2 linked regions of the Xenopus tropicalis genome follow. The protein of the gene in region 1 purifies or fractionates together with the protein of each later gene. This does not show direct contact. Links are inferred from orthologs where the notes say so. Each region holds a gene or a part of one and is shown on either strand. Other genes may lie near its edges.

What was found. The genes of interacting proteins can lie anywhere in the genome.
Region 2: the proteins of etaa1 (region 1) and atr purify together in Homo sapiens (affinity purification with western blotting; 3 studies listed by BioGRID, with this or other methods). This does not show direct contact. The link is inferred for Xenopus tropicalis from reciprocal best matches to the Homo sapiens genes ETAA1 and ATR.

Annotation. Positions count from the first base shown.
Region 1 is NC_030681.2:30,917,578-30,926,492, forward strand, and holds the start of etaa1 (ewing's tumor-associated antigen 1), read right to left. Parts: upstream 4,317-8,915; 5' UTR 4,284-4,316; coding exon 4,205-4,283; intron 2,693-4,204; coding exon 2,552-2,692; intron 1,178-2,551; coding exon 1,098-1,177; intron 196-1,097; coding exon 95-195; intron 1-94. UniProt on the Homo sapiens protein: Replication stress response protein that accumulates at DNA damage sites and promotes replication fork progression and integrity.
Region 2 is NC_030681.2:119,609,020-119,617,183, forward strand, and holds the end of atr (serine/threonine-protein kinase ATR), read right to left. Parts: intron 8,160-8,164; coding exon 8,009-8,159; intron 7,215-8,008; coding exon 7,058-7,214; intron 6,167-7,057; coding exon 6,013-6,166; intron 5,688-6,012; coding exon 5,536-5,687; intron 2,962-5,535; coding exon 2,856-2,961; intron 1,755-2,855; coding exon 1,581-1,754; 3' UTR 1,196-1,580; downstream 1-1,195. UniProt on the Homo sapiens protein: Serine/threonine protein kinase which activates checkpoint signaling upon genotoxic stresses such as ionizing radiation (IR), ultraviolet light (UV), or DNA replication stalling, thereby acting as a DNA damage sensor.

The DNA.
Region 1 (8,915 bases):
TTTATGGAAATTTGGCATAAACTGAGAAAATGTACTCTTTATGCTTCATTGGGGAGATGCAAATACTTTCATAGTACAGTGACATAATACTTACAAGCTAGCTTTTGCCCTTGATCTTGCAACTACAGGTGTTGATGGAATAGCATCATCCCCAATCCACATTTGAAGATAAGCAGCAGCGGCAGGCTTTTCATTCTGCAACAAAAAGGAAAAAAAAAATATTATATAATATAATTCTACTTGTAGGGAAGATTTATTTATGTCTGAAACACTAAAAATGTAAATGATATAAAAGTTGAATTATTAGGCTTAAACATTTAGGTTGTATTTTATTGTGAGAATGCACATTAAACAGCACAATAATCACAATATTTCCCTAACTGGAACATCAGTTAGGGAAATAATTTGAGGGACCACAGTCTATCACAGTACTAATTAGAGCCAGTAAGTTGGTCTCTAAATAAAAAGAGCAACATGGGCAATTTTGTATCCAGAATAAACTAGAGCAAGAATCCTGAGCTGCAGATCTGTAGGGACAGCTCTTCTTATGTAGGAATGACACTGTATTACTACAGAAATCAATGTAATTATGCATAAGATAGGCAACAGTTGGGAAATGCACGTGAGCAACAAATTTAAGAATGCAGTCTTCAAATGTATGACAGTATCTTTCTCCAACATGCCTTTAAATGACTCTGTAATGTCACTGTATACTTGTGTTTTGTCTCCACCATGTCAAATTAAGAATCTCACAGTGCACAAATGCAACACATGTTAAAACTCGTAAACTGTACAGGGCAGGGACCTCCTTCCTCTTCTTTTGTTAACAATCAGACTTAACCTTTAATGTAATTCTACTTTGTATTTATTACTGTATTGACCTACAGTAATTGTTCTATATGCAGCACTGCATACATAAGTAGCACTATATATACATGCATCCTATCAGCCCCGTCTTAGCCTTAACCTACCCTAATGCAATTTTCAGCAGAATATCTAACAAATAAAAACAGGAATTTGTATATAAAATCAATCATGTTGGTTTTTAATTATACCCCAAAAAACAAAGCCCAATTAAAACCCTTGAAGCTCATTACCTTTGGAGCTATCCTGTTAACAATATCAGAAATTTCAACAGTACATTTGCTCGCAGTCTGTTTTTTTCTTCTTCCATTTTCTAGAGCATAAGAATTTCACAGTAAATACATGCAAAATTGAAAACATAAAATGGAAAAAATAATCAATTTAAATCTAAAAATAAATAGATATGCCTTTTTATCTTAAAGGTTATAAGGACTCATTCATGAAGTAAGGCAAGTGCAAAATTGTGCACTCAAACTCTATTCACAACACCATGTGTGTCCAATACACACTGCTCTATACTTGCCCCAAAACATCTCTTAAGTTGTTATGCAATGTACAGGGCACCTATATGCAAGGGAGCCCTAAATTGAACACCTGCCTTGAGTTAAGGGTAATATCTAGGGTCTGGCACGCAACAAACTTCCACCCAATAATAACTGCACTGGCATTTTTGTGCCTATAGCATTGTATTTCTATTTATATATGAACACTACAATGTACAACATTATCTCCAAAAATACCAAAACCAGGATTTATGTAGCTAATAAAATAAACAGCCATTCAGCATTCAAGTGGTATGGTTGCCAATATGTAATGGAACAGAGGTACTATCCCCAAGCCACATATAAGAGGTGCAGAGCTTCTATATTACAGCATCACGTTCGCTAGCAAATGTATAGTTAGTGTTTCTTTAAAGGCGTAGTTCACCATTAATTTAATGTTTTGTGAATTAAAGAATGCCATGTTATTAGCAATTTTTCAGTTGGTCTACATTTTTTATTGTTTTTATTTGCCTTATTTTGGCAATTTTATTATCGCTGTTATTTTAAATTGGAGAGCTGCTGAAAAAAAAGTTAAAATATTTAAAATCCACAAAATAAAAGATTTAAGACTAATTGCAAATTGTCTAAGTATATCACTGGCTACATCCTAATAAATGTTAACTGAAAGGTAAACTAACTAAAACAAAGCAGATCAGTGAGGTTTTATTACTACTTATTTATTTAGGGATTAGTTTTTTCCAGGTACGTCATTTAGGCCACTGGCTGCCAGGTTAAATGGGACCTAGCCATCAGGTAACATTAAATTCCCAATATGTGTGTGAAACAGCTAATTGTAAACCTCGGTGAGAGCAGATTTTTAACAAAGCAGGTTTTCAGAAAACTGCGAGCACCACTTATCTGTCACTTTAATTCCATTAAGAAAATTGCATAATATGGCGGTTAGAAGTTTCTAAAACATGCTCGAGAAAACCTAGTAACAGTGCTACCTGTAGCAAAAACAGGAATCAGCGACACAGTTGCATACATATGACCAGTTTGGCCTGAAAATTTGATCGAATTTAACCTTAATGCCCAACTGTATGGGTGTATTTGTTACTATTGGATTGCAGAAAGTCTGCTCAGACAGTGTATGAAATCTGCCTATGCACAAAACATTACCAATATGCCTACGCAGCAAACATTACCGATTTTAAACGCTGTCGGCGAATATGGATCCCAAAAGATTTCATGTTGTTGATCAATGTCATTGGAGGGAGAATTGAAAGCTGGAGAGGAGTGTTTGCTTCTAGACAACCTTTTTGGAGTTTTCTTGTACGAAGTTGATTCTACGGGAACGGTTAAAGAGAAACAAACACTATTAAGCGATGCACTCATCACACTAGAAACACAATGGGCTGTATATGAATGAATCAAAAACTGACAGAACTCAGTATTATATCTTTATATTGCATTACAAATACAGTACATGTTCTGTAGTACCCTTAAAGGAGAAGGAAAGGCTAAGTCACTTGGGGGTGCCAAAATGTTAGGCACCCCCAAGTGACTTAGATCGCTTACATTTTACCCCGGGCTGGTGCCCCTGTACGGAGAGAACAGCACCAGCCCGGGGTAGCAGCGAGCGCTTCCTCCTTCCTGTAGCGCCGCGCGCGCATGCGCAGTAGAGTGAAAAGCCAAACTTAAACAAGAAAGTCGGCTTTTCACTCTACTGCGCATGCGCCGGCCCACGGATTTCGCCGGCAGAAGAGAGAGGAAGAGGAAACACTCCCTGCAGGTACCCCGGGCTGGTGCTGTTTTCTCCTAACAGGGGCACCAGCCCAGGATACAAGGTAAGCGATTAAAGTCACTTGGGGGTGCCTAACATTTGGCACCCCCAAGTGACTTAGGCTTTCCTTCTCCTTTCATTAAAGGAGACATATCCTATAAAAATAATGAATGTACCAATGAATTATACTCCTCTAGATATAGAAGGATTGTGCTTAAAAAAGTTGTGTTTCTGACTGATTTATTGAGAAATTCGCCCAAAACCCCACTAGCCCCGCCCATCTGTTCCACTTCCTGCTGGCTAAATTCTCTGGATGAGCTGGGGAGCCGGCGGCCCTCCGTACCCTGCACTGTAGGATAGGAACCAATCAGCAGCTAGGCTGACCTGATAGGGAACTGAAGCCTGTCTTTGCTTGTGTGACTGCAGGGCTGTGATTGGCTCTCCCCCTCTTACTGTGCTTCTGGCAGGGACCGTTAGGACACGCCCACCCTTCATTTGAAACACAGATATGGACCTGAGTGGATCTATAGGGAGCTCCAATAATGTTTAGCCCAAAGTGAAACCAACACCATATATTATTCATAACTGCCTACAGGGTTAGGGTTTTCCCATTTATCCAAGTAAAGTAAAAGTTCCTATAATGTATATGAGACTTAGACCAAGGGAAGAAGTACAGAAGAACCAAGGAGATGGCAGGACTCTTATTATGCACGTCTGCAGGTCAGGCTGTCAGTAGTAGGGTAGGCCTGTCCTGCACAGAGGCAACTCCAGAGGACGGCCATAGGGACTGTTCCTCTAGGTACAAATCTCTCCCTCCCCAGAAGCTCTCCTGGGGTTCAGGGTCCCCCTGGCTTGCGGCTAAGGGATGGATGGGGGCAGGGCACAGCGATACCAACACTGGCAGCAGTGAAACGCTCTTCTCTAACTAAATAAGCGATTTTTTCTTTAAAACTAACAGAGCAGCTTTACCCTCCGCACATAAACCCGCAGCAGATTTACAATCTTCCAGGCACCGGAAGTAGAGTCTTTCAACCCATTTACAATAGAGAGCGAACCGCTGCAGAGAAATGCCTACCCCCGGAAAGTGCCGCTTCCTGCGGGGCAGTCCCAACTTTCCTTACACAGCCCGCAGCCCCGCACCGCTGCTTAAACATCCCGCTACTCCGGTAACATCCAGCTCAGCAGCTCCTGCCTGGCACCGAGTACTGACGTCACAAGTCTCATCTCGCGAGAGTGCGGCGCACGAATACGTCTATAAGCGCGGTGACGCGGTACGTACAGCTTTGTTAGGGAATGAGGGCAATCCTCTGTATGTGTTATGTAATGACAAGCCGGTAGTTTGCTGTGTGTATGGCAGGCTGTGGCTACTTTCTATGTATTTTGGGTTTTTTTTCCCAATAATATGCCCACTGACTCAGCTACAAATATATGACTTAAACTTAGCACTTTATGTTTTCTCAATAGAACAAATAACCTACATTTTTTCTTTGCCAGGTGGGTACTGGCTATAACTCAATGGCTTCCACTGGAGTCTTTGCCTCACTAAAGGGCAATACACATTATAGGGCTGATTTACTAAGACACGAATTTGAATCCGAATGGGAAAAATTCCGATTGTAAAACGAACGTTTTGCGAGTTTTTCGTACTTTTTGCGATTTTTTCGTAAATTGTCGCGACTTTTTCGTAGCCGTTACGACTTGCACGAATAGTCGCCACTTTTTCGTAGCCGTTACGATATGCTCGTATCTTGTCGCAACTTTTTCGTATTGAGCGCTCGTAACCTGCGGGCAAAACTTTCAGACTTAGCATGATTTTGGAAGCCTCCCATAGAGCTCAATGACACTCTGCAGCTCCAACCCGGCCCAAGGAAAGTCTCCCATAGGGCTCAATGGCACTCTGCAGCTCCAACCTGGCCCAAGGAAAGTCTCCCATAGGGCTCAATGGCACTCTGCAGCTCCAACCCGGCCCAAGGAAAGTCACCCATAGGGCTCAATGGCACTCTGTAGCTCCAACCTGGCCCAAGGAAAGTCACCCATAGGGCTCAATGGCACTCTGCAGCTCCAACCTGGCCCAAGGAAAGTCTCCCATAGGGCTCAATGGCACTCTGTAGCTCCAACCTGGCCCAAGGAAAGTCTCCCATAGGGCTCAATGGCACTCTGCAGCTCCAACCCGGCCCAAGGAAAGTCTCCCATAGGGCTCAATGGCACTCTGCAGCTCCAACCTGGCCCAAGGAAAGTCTCCCATAGGGCTCAATGGCACTCTGCAGCTCCAACCCGGCCCAAGGAAAGTCACCCATAGGGCTCAATGGCACTCTGTAGCTCCAACCTGGCCCAAGGAAAGTCACCCATAGGGCTCAATGGCACTCTGCAGCTCCAACCTGGCCCAAGGAAAGTCTCCCATAGGGCTCAATGGCACTCTGCAGCTCCAACCTGGCCCAAGGAAAGTCTCCCATAGAGCTCAATGGCACTCTGCAGCTCCAACCTGGCCCAAGGAAAGTCTCCCATAGAGCTCAATGGCACTCTGCAGCTCCAACCTGGCCCAAGGAAAGTCTCCCATAGAGCTCAATGGCACTCTGCAGCTCCAACCTGGCCCAAGGAAAGTCTCCCATAGGGCTCAATGGCACTCTGCAGCTCCAACCTGGCCCAAGGAAAGTCTCCCATAGAGCTCAATGGCACTCTGCAGCTCCAACCTGGCCCAAGGAATGTCTCCCATAGGACTCAATGGCACTCTGCAGCTCCAACCCGGCCCAAGGAAAGTCTCCCATAGGGCTCAATGGCACTCTGCAGCTCCAACCCGGCCCAAGGAAAGTCTCCCATAGGGCTCAATAGCACTCTGCAGCTCCAACCCGGCCCAAGGAAAGTCTCCCATAGGGCTCAATGGCACTCTGCAGCTCCAACCTGGCCCAAGGAAAGTCTCCCATAGGGCTCAATAGCACTCTGCAGCTCCAACCCGGGCCAAGGAAAGTCTCCCATAGGGCTCAATGGCACTCTGCAGCCCCAACCCGGCCCAAGGAAAGTCTCCCATAGGGCTCAATGGCACTCTGCAGCTCCAACCCGGCCCAAGAAAAATTCTCCCATAGGGCTCAATGGCACTCTGCAGCTCCAACCTGGCCCAAGGAAAGTCTTCCATAGGGCTCAATGGCACTCTGCAGCTCCAACCCGGCCCAAGGAAAGTCTCCCATAGGGCTCAATGGCACTCTGCAGCTCCAACCTGGCCCAAGGAAAGTCTCCCATAGGGCTCAATGGCACTCTGCAGCTCCAACCCGGCCCAAGGAAAGTCTCCCATAGGGCTCAATGGCACTCTGCAGCTCCAACCAGGCCCAAGGAAAGTCTCCCATAGGGCTCAATGGCACTCTGCAGCTCCAACCCGGCCCAAGGAAAGTCTCCCATAGGGCTCAATGGCACTCTGCAGCTCCAACCTGGCCCAAGGAAAGTCTCCCATAGGACTCAATGGCACTCTGCAGCTCCAACCTGGCCCAAGGAAAGACTCCCATAGGGCTCAATGGCACTCTGCAGCTCCAACCTGGCCCTAGGAAAGTCTCCCATAGGGCTCAATGGCACTCTGCAGCTCCAACCTGGCCCAAGGAAAGTCTCCCATAGGGCTCAATGGCACTCTGCAGCTCCAACCTGGCCCAAGGAAAGTCTCCCATAGGGCTCAATGGCACTCTGCAGCTCCAACCTGGCCCAAGGAAAGTCTCCCATAGGGCTCAATGGCACTCTGCAGCTCCAACCCGGCCCAAGGAAAGTCTCCCATAGGGCTCAATGGCACTCTGCAGCTCCAACCCAGCCCAAGGAAAGCCTCCCATAGGGCTCAATGGCACTCTGCAGCTCCAACCTGGCCCAAGGAAAGTCTCCCATAGGGCTCAATGGCACTCTGCAGCTCCAACCCGGCCCAAGGAAAGTTTCCCATAGGGCTCAATGGCACTCTGCAGCTCCAACCCAGCCCAAGGAAAGCCTCCCATAGGGCTCAATGGCACTCTGCAGCTCCAACCCGGCCCAAGGAAAGTCTCCCATAGGGCTCAATGGCACTCTGCAGCTCCAACCCGGCCCAAGGAAAGTCTCCCATAGGGCTCAATGGCACTCTGCAGCTCCAACCTGGCCCAAGGATAGTCTCCCATAGGGCTCAATGGCACTCTGCAGCTCCAACCCGGCCCAAGGAAAGTCTCCCATAGGGCTCAATGGCACTCTGCAGCTCCAACCCGGCCCAAGGAAAGCCTCCCATAGGGCTCAATGGCACTCTGCAGCTCCAACCCGGCCCAAGGAAAGCCTCCCATAGGGCTCAATGGCACTCTGCAGCTCCAACCTGGCCCAAGGAAAGTCTCCCATAGGGCTCAATGGCACTCTGCAGCTCCAACCTGGCCCAAGGAAAGTCTCCCATAGGGCTCAATGGCACTCTGCAGCTCCAACCCGACCCAAGGAAAGTCTCCCATAGGGCTCAATGGCACTCTGCAGCTCCAACCCGACCCAAGGAAAGTCTCCCATAGGGCTCAATGGCACTCTGCAGCTCCAACCCGGCCCAAGGAAAGTCTCCCATAGGGCTCAATGGCACTCTGCAGCTCCAACCCGGCCCAAGGAAAGTCTCCCATAGGGCTCAATGGCACTCTGCAGCTCCAACCCGGCCCAAGGAAAGTCTCCCATAGGGCTCAATGGCACTCTGCAGCTCCAACCTGGCCCAAGGAAAGTCTCCCATAGGGCTCAATGGCACTCTGCAGCTCCAACCCGGCCCAAGGAAAGCCTCCCATAGGGCTCAATGGCACTCTGCAGCTCCAACCTGGCCCAAGGAAAGTCTCCCATAGGGCTCAATGGCACTCTGCAGCTCCAACCCGGCCCAAGGAAAGTCTCCCATAGGGCTCAATGGCACTCTGCAGCTCCAACCTGGCCCAAGGAAAGTCTCCCATAGGGCTCAATGGCACTCTGCAGCTCCAACCTGGCCCAAGGAAAGTCTCCCATAGAGCTCAATGGCACTCTGCAGCTCCAACCTGGCCCAAGGAATGTCTCCCATAGGACTCAATGGCACTCTGCAGCTCCAACCCGGCCCAAGGAAAGTCTCCCATAGGGCTCAATGGCACTCTGCAGCTCCAACCCGGCCCAAGGAAAGTCTCCCATAGGGCTCAATAGCACTCTGCAGCTCCAACCCGGCCCAAGGAAAGTCTCCCATAGGGCTCAATGGCACTCTGCAGCTCCAACCTGGCCCAAGGAAAATCTCCCATAGGGCTCAATAGCACTCTGCAGCTCCAACCCGGCCCAAGGAAAGTCTCCCATAGGGCTCAATGGCACTCTGCAGCCCCAACCCGGCCCAAGGAAAGTCTCCCATAGGGCTCAATGGCACTCTGCAGCTCCAACCCGGCCCAAGAAAAATTCTCCCATAGGGCTCAATGGCACTCTGCAGCTCCAACCTGGCCCAAGGAAAGTCTTCCATAGGGCTCAATGGCACTCTGCAGCTCCAACCCGGCCCAAGGAAAGTCTCCCATAGGGCTCAATGGCACTCTGCAGCTCCAACCCGGCCCAAGGAAAGTCTCCCATAGGGCTCAATGGCACTCTGCAGCTCCAACCAGGCCCAAGGAAAGTCTCCCATAGGGCTCAATGGCACTCTGCAGCTCCAACCCGGCCCAAGGAAAGTCTCCCATAGGGCTCAATGGCACTCTGCAGCTCCAACCTGGCCCAAGGAAAGTCTCCCATAGGACTCAATGGCACTCTGCAGCTCCAACCTGGCCCAAGGAAAGACTCCCATAGGGCTCAATGGCACTCTGCAGCTCCAACCTGGCCCAAGGAAAGTCTCCCATAGG
Region 2 (8,164 bases), about 89 Mb from region 1:
ATTCGCACAACGAAAATGCGCACGCCATTAGTCACCGCGACAGCCATTATAGTTTATGTCCAAAAAGTTGCCGCAATTAATCGCCCTATGGCAGGATATTTTCTGGAGTTTAGTAGCCTTGAAAAAGTAGCTGCTACTAGTAGCCCAGTGTGTCTTCACCCTTAAGGAAACATGAACTTCAAAATATATAGTACAAAATATATATATATTGATTATTGGCGTGTGCATGTTACAGGGTCTCTTTTATTGTTCATTATTTGTATGGGAGCCATAAAATTATGGGGAGCAACCGGCATTTGAGGTTGGAGTAGTGAGTGCCATCGATGGAGGATATTTGTTTATGCAGCCAAAGAAACATTCGACCATCTTCGGCATTATTGCAGTTCACTGTTCATGCTTTATAACTCATAGCCATCAAATAACAATTATACTTTAGTAACAAAATCAAAATTATGATTAGTTGCTTTGTATTCTGTCCCTTATATTTTGCATAAAATGTATTTAATTCATATTTGAAATAGAAAAAAAAATAATTATTTGTGTTCTACTGTTTGACAGTAGGGATTGGGAAGATAAAATACTACCATGCTCTCTTCCACTACAATTTTAAGAATCTGTGTCATTTGGATTGTTCTGGAAATAGAATTCCCTTGACAGATCCTTCTATAGACCTTGTTATGTTTATATGCAGTCCTCTTCCCCTTATTCATGTCAGGCATCTATACCCCTCTTAATGAATCACAAGTTCATACTGTATAACCCTTTTGAAGATACTAGATACTGATGTGTGTTGGGTAGGATTTATTAACCACAGCCCTAATATAATCTGGTTCTCAGACTGCTAAAGGGCTGCATTCTTCTCATCCCTGGTCCACAGAATCCCTAGATGTTTTCAATATTTAACCCCAAAGAGTTTAAATATGTGTAAGTTGGTACCCATGCACCTCATGAGTATGTCACAGAAAGTCAGAATTTCAATGCCAATAATGGCCTCACAAAAAGGCTGGTGTTGCTGGTGTATGAGTAGAGTGTCTGTGAGTAAAAAGCACCCATTATCACATAAGATATCATCAACTTAGTAATCCTGTAGATATTTGGCTTCAACAGGTAATACTGTACATACATGGCTAGGGGTTTTTGTAAAGGCATCCAACATTCTCATGATTAGTTATACCAATGACAATTTAGACTGAAGAACCTTATTAGAAATTATTTATTTTTCAAAAAAGTGTTCCAAAACAGAAACATATTATACAGAAAATACTATACAAAATGTTTTATTGTAATGTTTTAACAGATGCATGGCATCTCCAGCAAAAGAAAACCATTTACTGTAATGTATTGTAACTATCGTACTCTATTGTAATAACATAAACAGGTATTTTCTGCCTAAAACAGCAGACATTTTCAAACCTTTTTGAAAGGAAAACATTTAAAGTTTCCATATTTTGTTCCTTATATGCTTGTAACTCAACCCAGAAATGATAGAACACGTATTCTAACAAATATACATCTACAGTTAATTACAAATGTACTTATTCAAAATCTGACAGAACAAGAGATGTTCCACATGAGCAACATCACATATACGGTGCCCACCCCAAGTACATCTGGCTAAGAAGGTTCTCATCTGTGGCTTCTTGGATCAGATAATGGACATGTCCTTCAATTGAGAGCGGAAGTCCCTTTACACGATTCCTAGTCTTAATTACACCTTGTAGCCGCTGCTCTATGTCAAGAACATGTGTTTTGGCCTAACAGAAAGTAAGAAAGTGAGAAAACAAAACAAATAATGGTCATTCTAGTTTAAAAGGATTTTTTCTAGAGAAACAGCAACAGTGCAATTTAGAGCAAATTGACAAGGACATTCTTACTGATCACTGCTAATAGTTCTGTATAGTAGTTGGCAATGTTCATTAACTGTGCAAGTTTTAAATTGAATCAGAAGGCTGCATTTGTTTAATAAATTAGACATTTTGTGTTAAAGTGCAAAAAATAAAAAAAACAAAAAAAAGCTCAATTCACATTTTTTGTAAATCGTTTTCCCCAGAAGTACAGCATAATTGCACCCTTCCACAAACTAGCACATATATTTGTACTAGCTAGTGAATTTTGGTACAATCTGAATCTGTAATGTAAGGCAGGACACGGGGGTGCACTTACAAGCTTTTTAACTTCATGTATCTCAAATGATGCAGCACTGAGCTGCTGTAGGAGCCGCACCTTAAAGGGGTTGTTGGACAACATTCACAAATCACAGATCACATTAATAGAACAATCTTTGCAACATACATAGTTAACATAAAATGTGCAACATAACAGTATGTTAGATTTGCAATATGCTGAGTCTGTTTGCCTAAATCATTGCAAGGGAGAAATTAACCAATGGCCTTTCAGTTTATGCAACTGGTTAGAAGTGCAGAAGGGTCCAACAGGGAAAAAGCAAAAGCAAAGCCTGGAAGTGATGATGTAAGCATTTTGTCAGGTTCAAAATAGGCCATTCCCATCCCTTCAGAAAACTGATCAGATAGACAAAAGAAGTGATTTAACAGGTACAACAAGTAGCTTTTTACATTGTTTTTACAAGCATGAAGCCCCCCCTACCTTCCTGTTCAGCGCTCCCTATCTCTCTGACTACAGAGCAGTCAAAGAGGAGAGCCTTCTGTGCCTGCCTGACAGACAAGAAGCTTTCTGGGAATGCAGAGAGAAGCAGGAGATGGTGTGCAGCAGCAGATTTTTTTTTCTGTGCTCATACATACCTGTGCATTCCCAGAAAGCTTATTCTTAAATTAATGAAATGAGCCTTTATATACTGTACGGCATGAGGTACATATATAACTTTATACAACACCAACCTTTTCATTCACCACTTCTCCGGTCTCGTTGACTTGACCTTTACTTCCCCCTCTTGCTGGTTTACTCCATTCCACCAAAGGATCATGTAAGAAGGGTTTCAGCACACTGCAATAAACACACACAACCCCATTTTAACCCTATGGCAGTTTGATGTGCATCTGTCACATAAGGGTAAGGTCACACAAGGTGGATTGGATAAGCGTAGGCTGACAACCTGCCAGTATGCTTTAAAATTTTTCTTGTTCCTGCACCCGGAAGCACTGAATTCGCCAGGGTGCAGACACACGCAGCCGATATCCACCCACAAACACCCAGTCTGGCTTTTGTTAACAGATATTAGCTGTGTGTGCCTGCACTCAATGCTTCTAGGTGCAGGCACAGGAAGATTTTTTTCAAGCGTACAGGTTTTGTCAGCCTGTTCATATCTGCAGGCTGACAATAAACCCGTTTGCCCTTGCCCTTACACAAGATCATTGTAATTTCTATGAAACACAATGAAAAGTACAGCTTCTGCTTGGGTGCAGGCACATGCAGTGGAGCAGAGGTCGGGACGAAAATAATGGCTTTCTTATTTTTGGGCCAACCTCTGCTCTGCTGCATATGCCTGCACCCAAGCTTCTCATGGAGTCAATGCTCCATGTGCCCTAAGCCTAATAGCAACTGACTGTCGCACCTAGATTTCAGATCCAAAAATGCACACTTTTGCAAAGCACTGGGACCTGAAATATACATGTAGAAGCCCAAGAGGGAATACAAACCGACAGGCAGTTGCAATTACACTCAATGACATTAACAGAGTATTAAATATCTGGTGTGCCATAAGCCTAAGATTTTCGACAAATTAAGATTACTGTACAAACATGTTGATACTGAAGGGAATGTAATGTTCAACTAATGCAACACCTAATCTATTAAACATATATACCATTCACTACAGTTCCATGCATTAAAATCCATGCAGAGTTTTCTTATAGATATGCTTTATATATTGCTGGTGCCCTCCTGTGGCCTCGTACATGCCATCACAGCTAACTTAGACTTAGGGGCACATTTACTAATCCATGAATGTCCGAAAAGCGTCCAAATGCGTTTTTTTCCGTAATGATCGGTATTTTGCGATTTCTCTGTAAATTGTCGCGACTTTTTCGTAGCCGTCGCGCAGAGTACGAAAGTTTCGGATTCATTCAAGCTTCAGTATCGTGACTTTCCTTGGGCCAGGTTGGAGCTGCAGAGTGCCATTGAGTACTATGGGAGGCTTCTAAAATCATGCAAAGTCTGAAAGGTTTGCCCCCCGTTTACGAGCGCTCAATACGAAAAAGTCGCGACAATATACAAGCAAATCATAACGGCTACGAAAAAGTCGCGACAATTCGCGCAAGTCGTAATGGCTACGAAAAAGTCGTAACGGCAACGAAAAAAATCGCAAAAAATTCGAGTTGCAAAATGTTCGTTTCCAATTTGAATTTTTCCCATTCGCATTCGGATTCGTGGATTAGTAAATGTTCCAACATATAGTGGAAAGCCTTCCAAGAAGAATAGGTGCTGTTATAGAGTCTGGATCTGGACCCTTCTGCTTAGATATTGTACCTGCTAATTGGTACAGCCCCAAAACCTAGGCCAACATCTGTCTCCCAGTGCCTCCATCACAACCTCGTACATGCCCTCTGCTTATTTGTTAGCTCTAGCGAGATGAGAAACTGCAGCCACCCAATAAACCCAGAGCAACAGACAGAGAGATACTGAAAGAAAAAAGTGTGTTTATATTGCTGTCCTGATAGATTTTCCACTGTGAGAGAGTAAGAGAGAAAGCCTGATTCTGCAGAGAGTTCTGTGTGTCTGAGAAAGGGAGCAAGCATGTGCCTTTGTGAGAGATCTGTGCGAATGAGAGAGAGAGGGGGGTGGAAGCTTGAGTATGCATACGAGAGGATACAAGAGAGTAATTTGTGTTTGAAAATGAAAAAACATGAGTCTCGCAAACTCTAATAGTGTACAAGTAATTTCAATTTATTAAGGCCCCCATACACGGGCCGACTCGGCAGCTTATCTGCCCATGTAGGGGCAGAAACGAGCGGGCTGGCCGACCGATATCTGGCCTGAAATTGGCCAGATATCAATCGGCCAGGATAAAAGATTCAGTCGGATCGGGGGCCGCATCGGCTCGTTGATGCGGTCCCCGAACCGACTGCCCCATTGCCACCTACATAATCCGGTCGTTTGGCCCCAGGGCCAAACGATCGGATTATTTTTTTTTTTAACTTCAAGCTCCCCGATATCGCCCACCCGTAGGTGGGGATATCGGGGGAAGATCCGCTCGCTTGGCGATCTCGGCAAGCGAGCGGATCTTACCGTGTATGGGGACCTTTAGAGGTGTGGGATTTTGCCTGGAGCAACCCACTAATGGTGGCCATAAACTGTTCAGTTCTCTACAGCATCCAACTGATACTTCTGACCAAACATAAAAAAAATATTAAGAAAAAAAATCCAGTAAACTGTATGAAAAACACAGCAAGTTACACAGCGCTTCACATTAATTATTTACAACAAACAGCCCTCTGTAGCCATGACTAGATTTAGATTAAGTGAGAATAAGTGAGTTGGAATGTTTTTGCACAATAATAGCTGGTGCCGACCTACTTGCAGCACATAACGGATACAAAAATAAAACCACTAAAAGATTACCTCATAAGTGGCTCCCTCTGGTCTCTCATTAACCTCATAGTGACTTCACATGCTCGTCGAAAAAGTCCTTCTGTCCCCATGGGGCCCATACCATTGACCATGTTATGAGTTAGGCGAAAGGGGACAATCTCTGGAACTTCAAATGTTTCACCCTAATTAAAAACAAATTTGTCCTTTATACACAACTGCAATCTATAACTAAATACTTTAATCAAATATTTACCTTTTATATTATACCATTTAATTTTTTAGTGTATTCTGTCTTGATACCCAATTATATCAGTAAAGTACAAATAACACAAGGTTAAGTCATTTTTTCACTAGTACCTAAGCAATAAATGTATAGTGGTTAAACAGCATGATTCAAATGTCCATGCATTTGGACATATTGTTATATAAACTACAGGTTCAATTATATTAGTGGCCCTCTAACACTTTCTCCTATACTAATGTCATTCATATTTATGTAAAGCTTACCTTGTTAAAGAGGCAGTTGAAATCCACATGGACACATTCCCCAGTAAGTGAGTCAAAAAGAATGTTCTCTCCATGGCGGTCCCCTAGGCCCAGTATGTAACCTACCATAGACATCACAGCAGTAGAACGGCAATAGGCTGATCTGCTGTTATACCTGCAAACAGAAAAAGTCAAATGGACTCGTTTTAGGAAGTAAAAAGTGGTGGCAAGCCAAGTGATATATTTGACCTAAGGCTAATGCCACCCGAGAATCCACCCCTATTGTTGTGCCTGCATGGGGAGCCATTGCATCGGCCCAGGTGCTGGCACACAAAGAAGAATTTGTTGCAAAACTGTTCGCGTATGCAGTTATATGTCAAATTCCACTCAGTATACCTGCACCTGGGTTAAAGCACTATTTCTGAGTGCATACACAACATTAAGATTTTTGAAGCATAGGGACCTAACTGTCCATCAAAATCTAGCATTAATTCATTACACTGACACATAAGGAGAGAGAGAGATTGCTGGGGAATAGGGGGAAATAGTGAAGATCAATTCAATTTTGTAAACGCTACAGAATTTTTATTTATGTTTAGAAAGGTTTCTTTTAGGCACCACCGTGCCACAAAGGTTAGCACTGCTGCCTTGCTGTGTTGGGTCTCTAGGTTCAATTCCAACTAGGGAACTAACGGACAGAAGCTTTTCTATTCTTCCTGTGTGGGTTTCCACCAGATACTAGTGTTTCCTCCCACACTCCAAAACATAGGGGAAGGTTACTTGGATTCTGCTCAAATCAACCATAATTAGTGTGAACAGGACTTAGATTGTAAGCTCAACTAGGGCAGGACTGATTTATATTGCCTGTAAAGCACTGCAGAAATGTGTCAGCACTATATAAATAAAAGAACAATACTTTACTAATACTTTACTACTTTACTAAAAATAGTCATGGTTTCAGGTATAAATGCTAACAGTTTACAACAAAACAATACATATAGGACAGTGTAGATATGTGTACCCCTGTAGTAAAGAATAAGGTTACTAGCGATATATATTTACTGACCAAGAAGTAGGATCAGGAAATGTTCTTAAAAACCATTCATGGAACAAAGGGGGGTGACGAGGCAACAGAGCCTCTTTAAAGACTTTCAGCTTTTCTTGCAGCGGTGCTCCCTTGGGAAGCATACATTGCCGGAGTTCCTTTCCTCCCATGTATATACCTGTCAAAGGTAAAAATAAAAGTACAAGTTACTAAGTGCATCTGTCACTCAAATTCAATAGACTGACCTATCTGCCCATTTATATGTGCTATTAAATGCAATGATATGATATCTGATCCCTATGCCAAGCACTAGTAATAATTTGGCTTTACTTGCTAACGGCACTACTGCTAGTCCAGCTTAACAAGTACTTTTTTTCAGTAGACATCTATTCCCTGATATTGCTCTTCTATTTACTTCCTTCTTAATCATGTATTTATGCTGGATTTTGTCTTGCAAGTTTCCAGGCCACTATTGCTTGTCAATAGATTATTTGTAAAAACAGAGTTCAAAATGCCTGAAATCGTTCCATGTGCCATTGCCCTAAGGAGTCTATGAATGCCTTCTGCTTCATGGTTGGTCACTTACCTAGTGGGGCAAGATAAAAGAGAGCTAAGATGGCTGATTACCTAATGTGCCACTAGCCTAAACACATATCTGAGAAGTAAAAGACTGTGCTAAAAATATAAATTAAGTAACTCTAAATAGAATAAAAAAATCTGAGCTATTGACATGGGCAATAGTCCTTTTCTATCTGTTTGTTATGATATTTTTAGTTTACAACAGCAAAAGTGTCAAGTGAACCAGTACACAGACAGCCAAAACTGTAAAAGGACTACATCTGTATATATTCCATTATTGTAACCATAACCCTACAATTGCAGTTAAGACATTGAGGCACTATGGCTGGTGCGCAATGCCTACACAATGCTTTTAGATCATTTTCATTCCCTTGAAAGGGTTATTTTATGTACCTTTTTCCTTGTACAGCTTGATCAATATGTTCCGGAATCCTGCAGTATTATTCACCCACTCTATTATTCCACATTCATCATTCAGTGGAATGACAGCATAGGTCCGTATATGAAGTTCTCTCCTTCGTGATTCGGCATCTTTACGTAAACACTGCT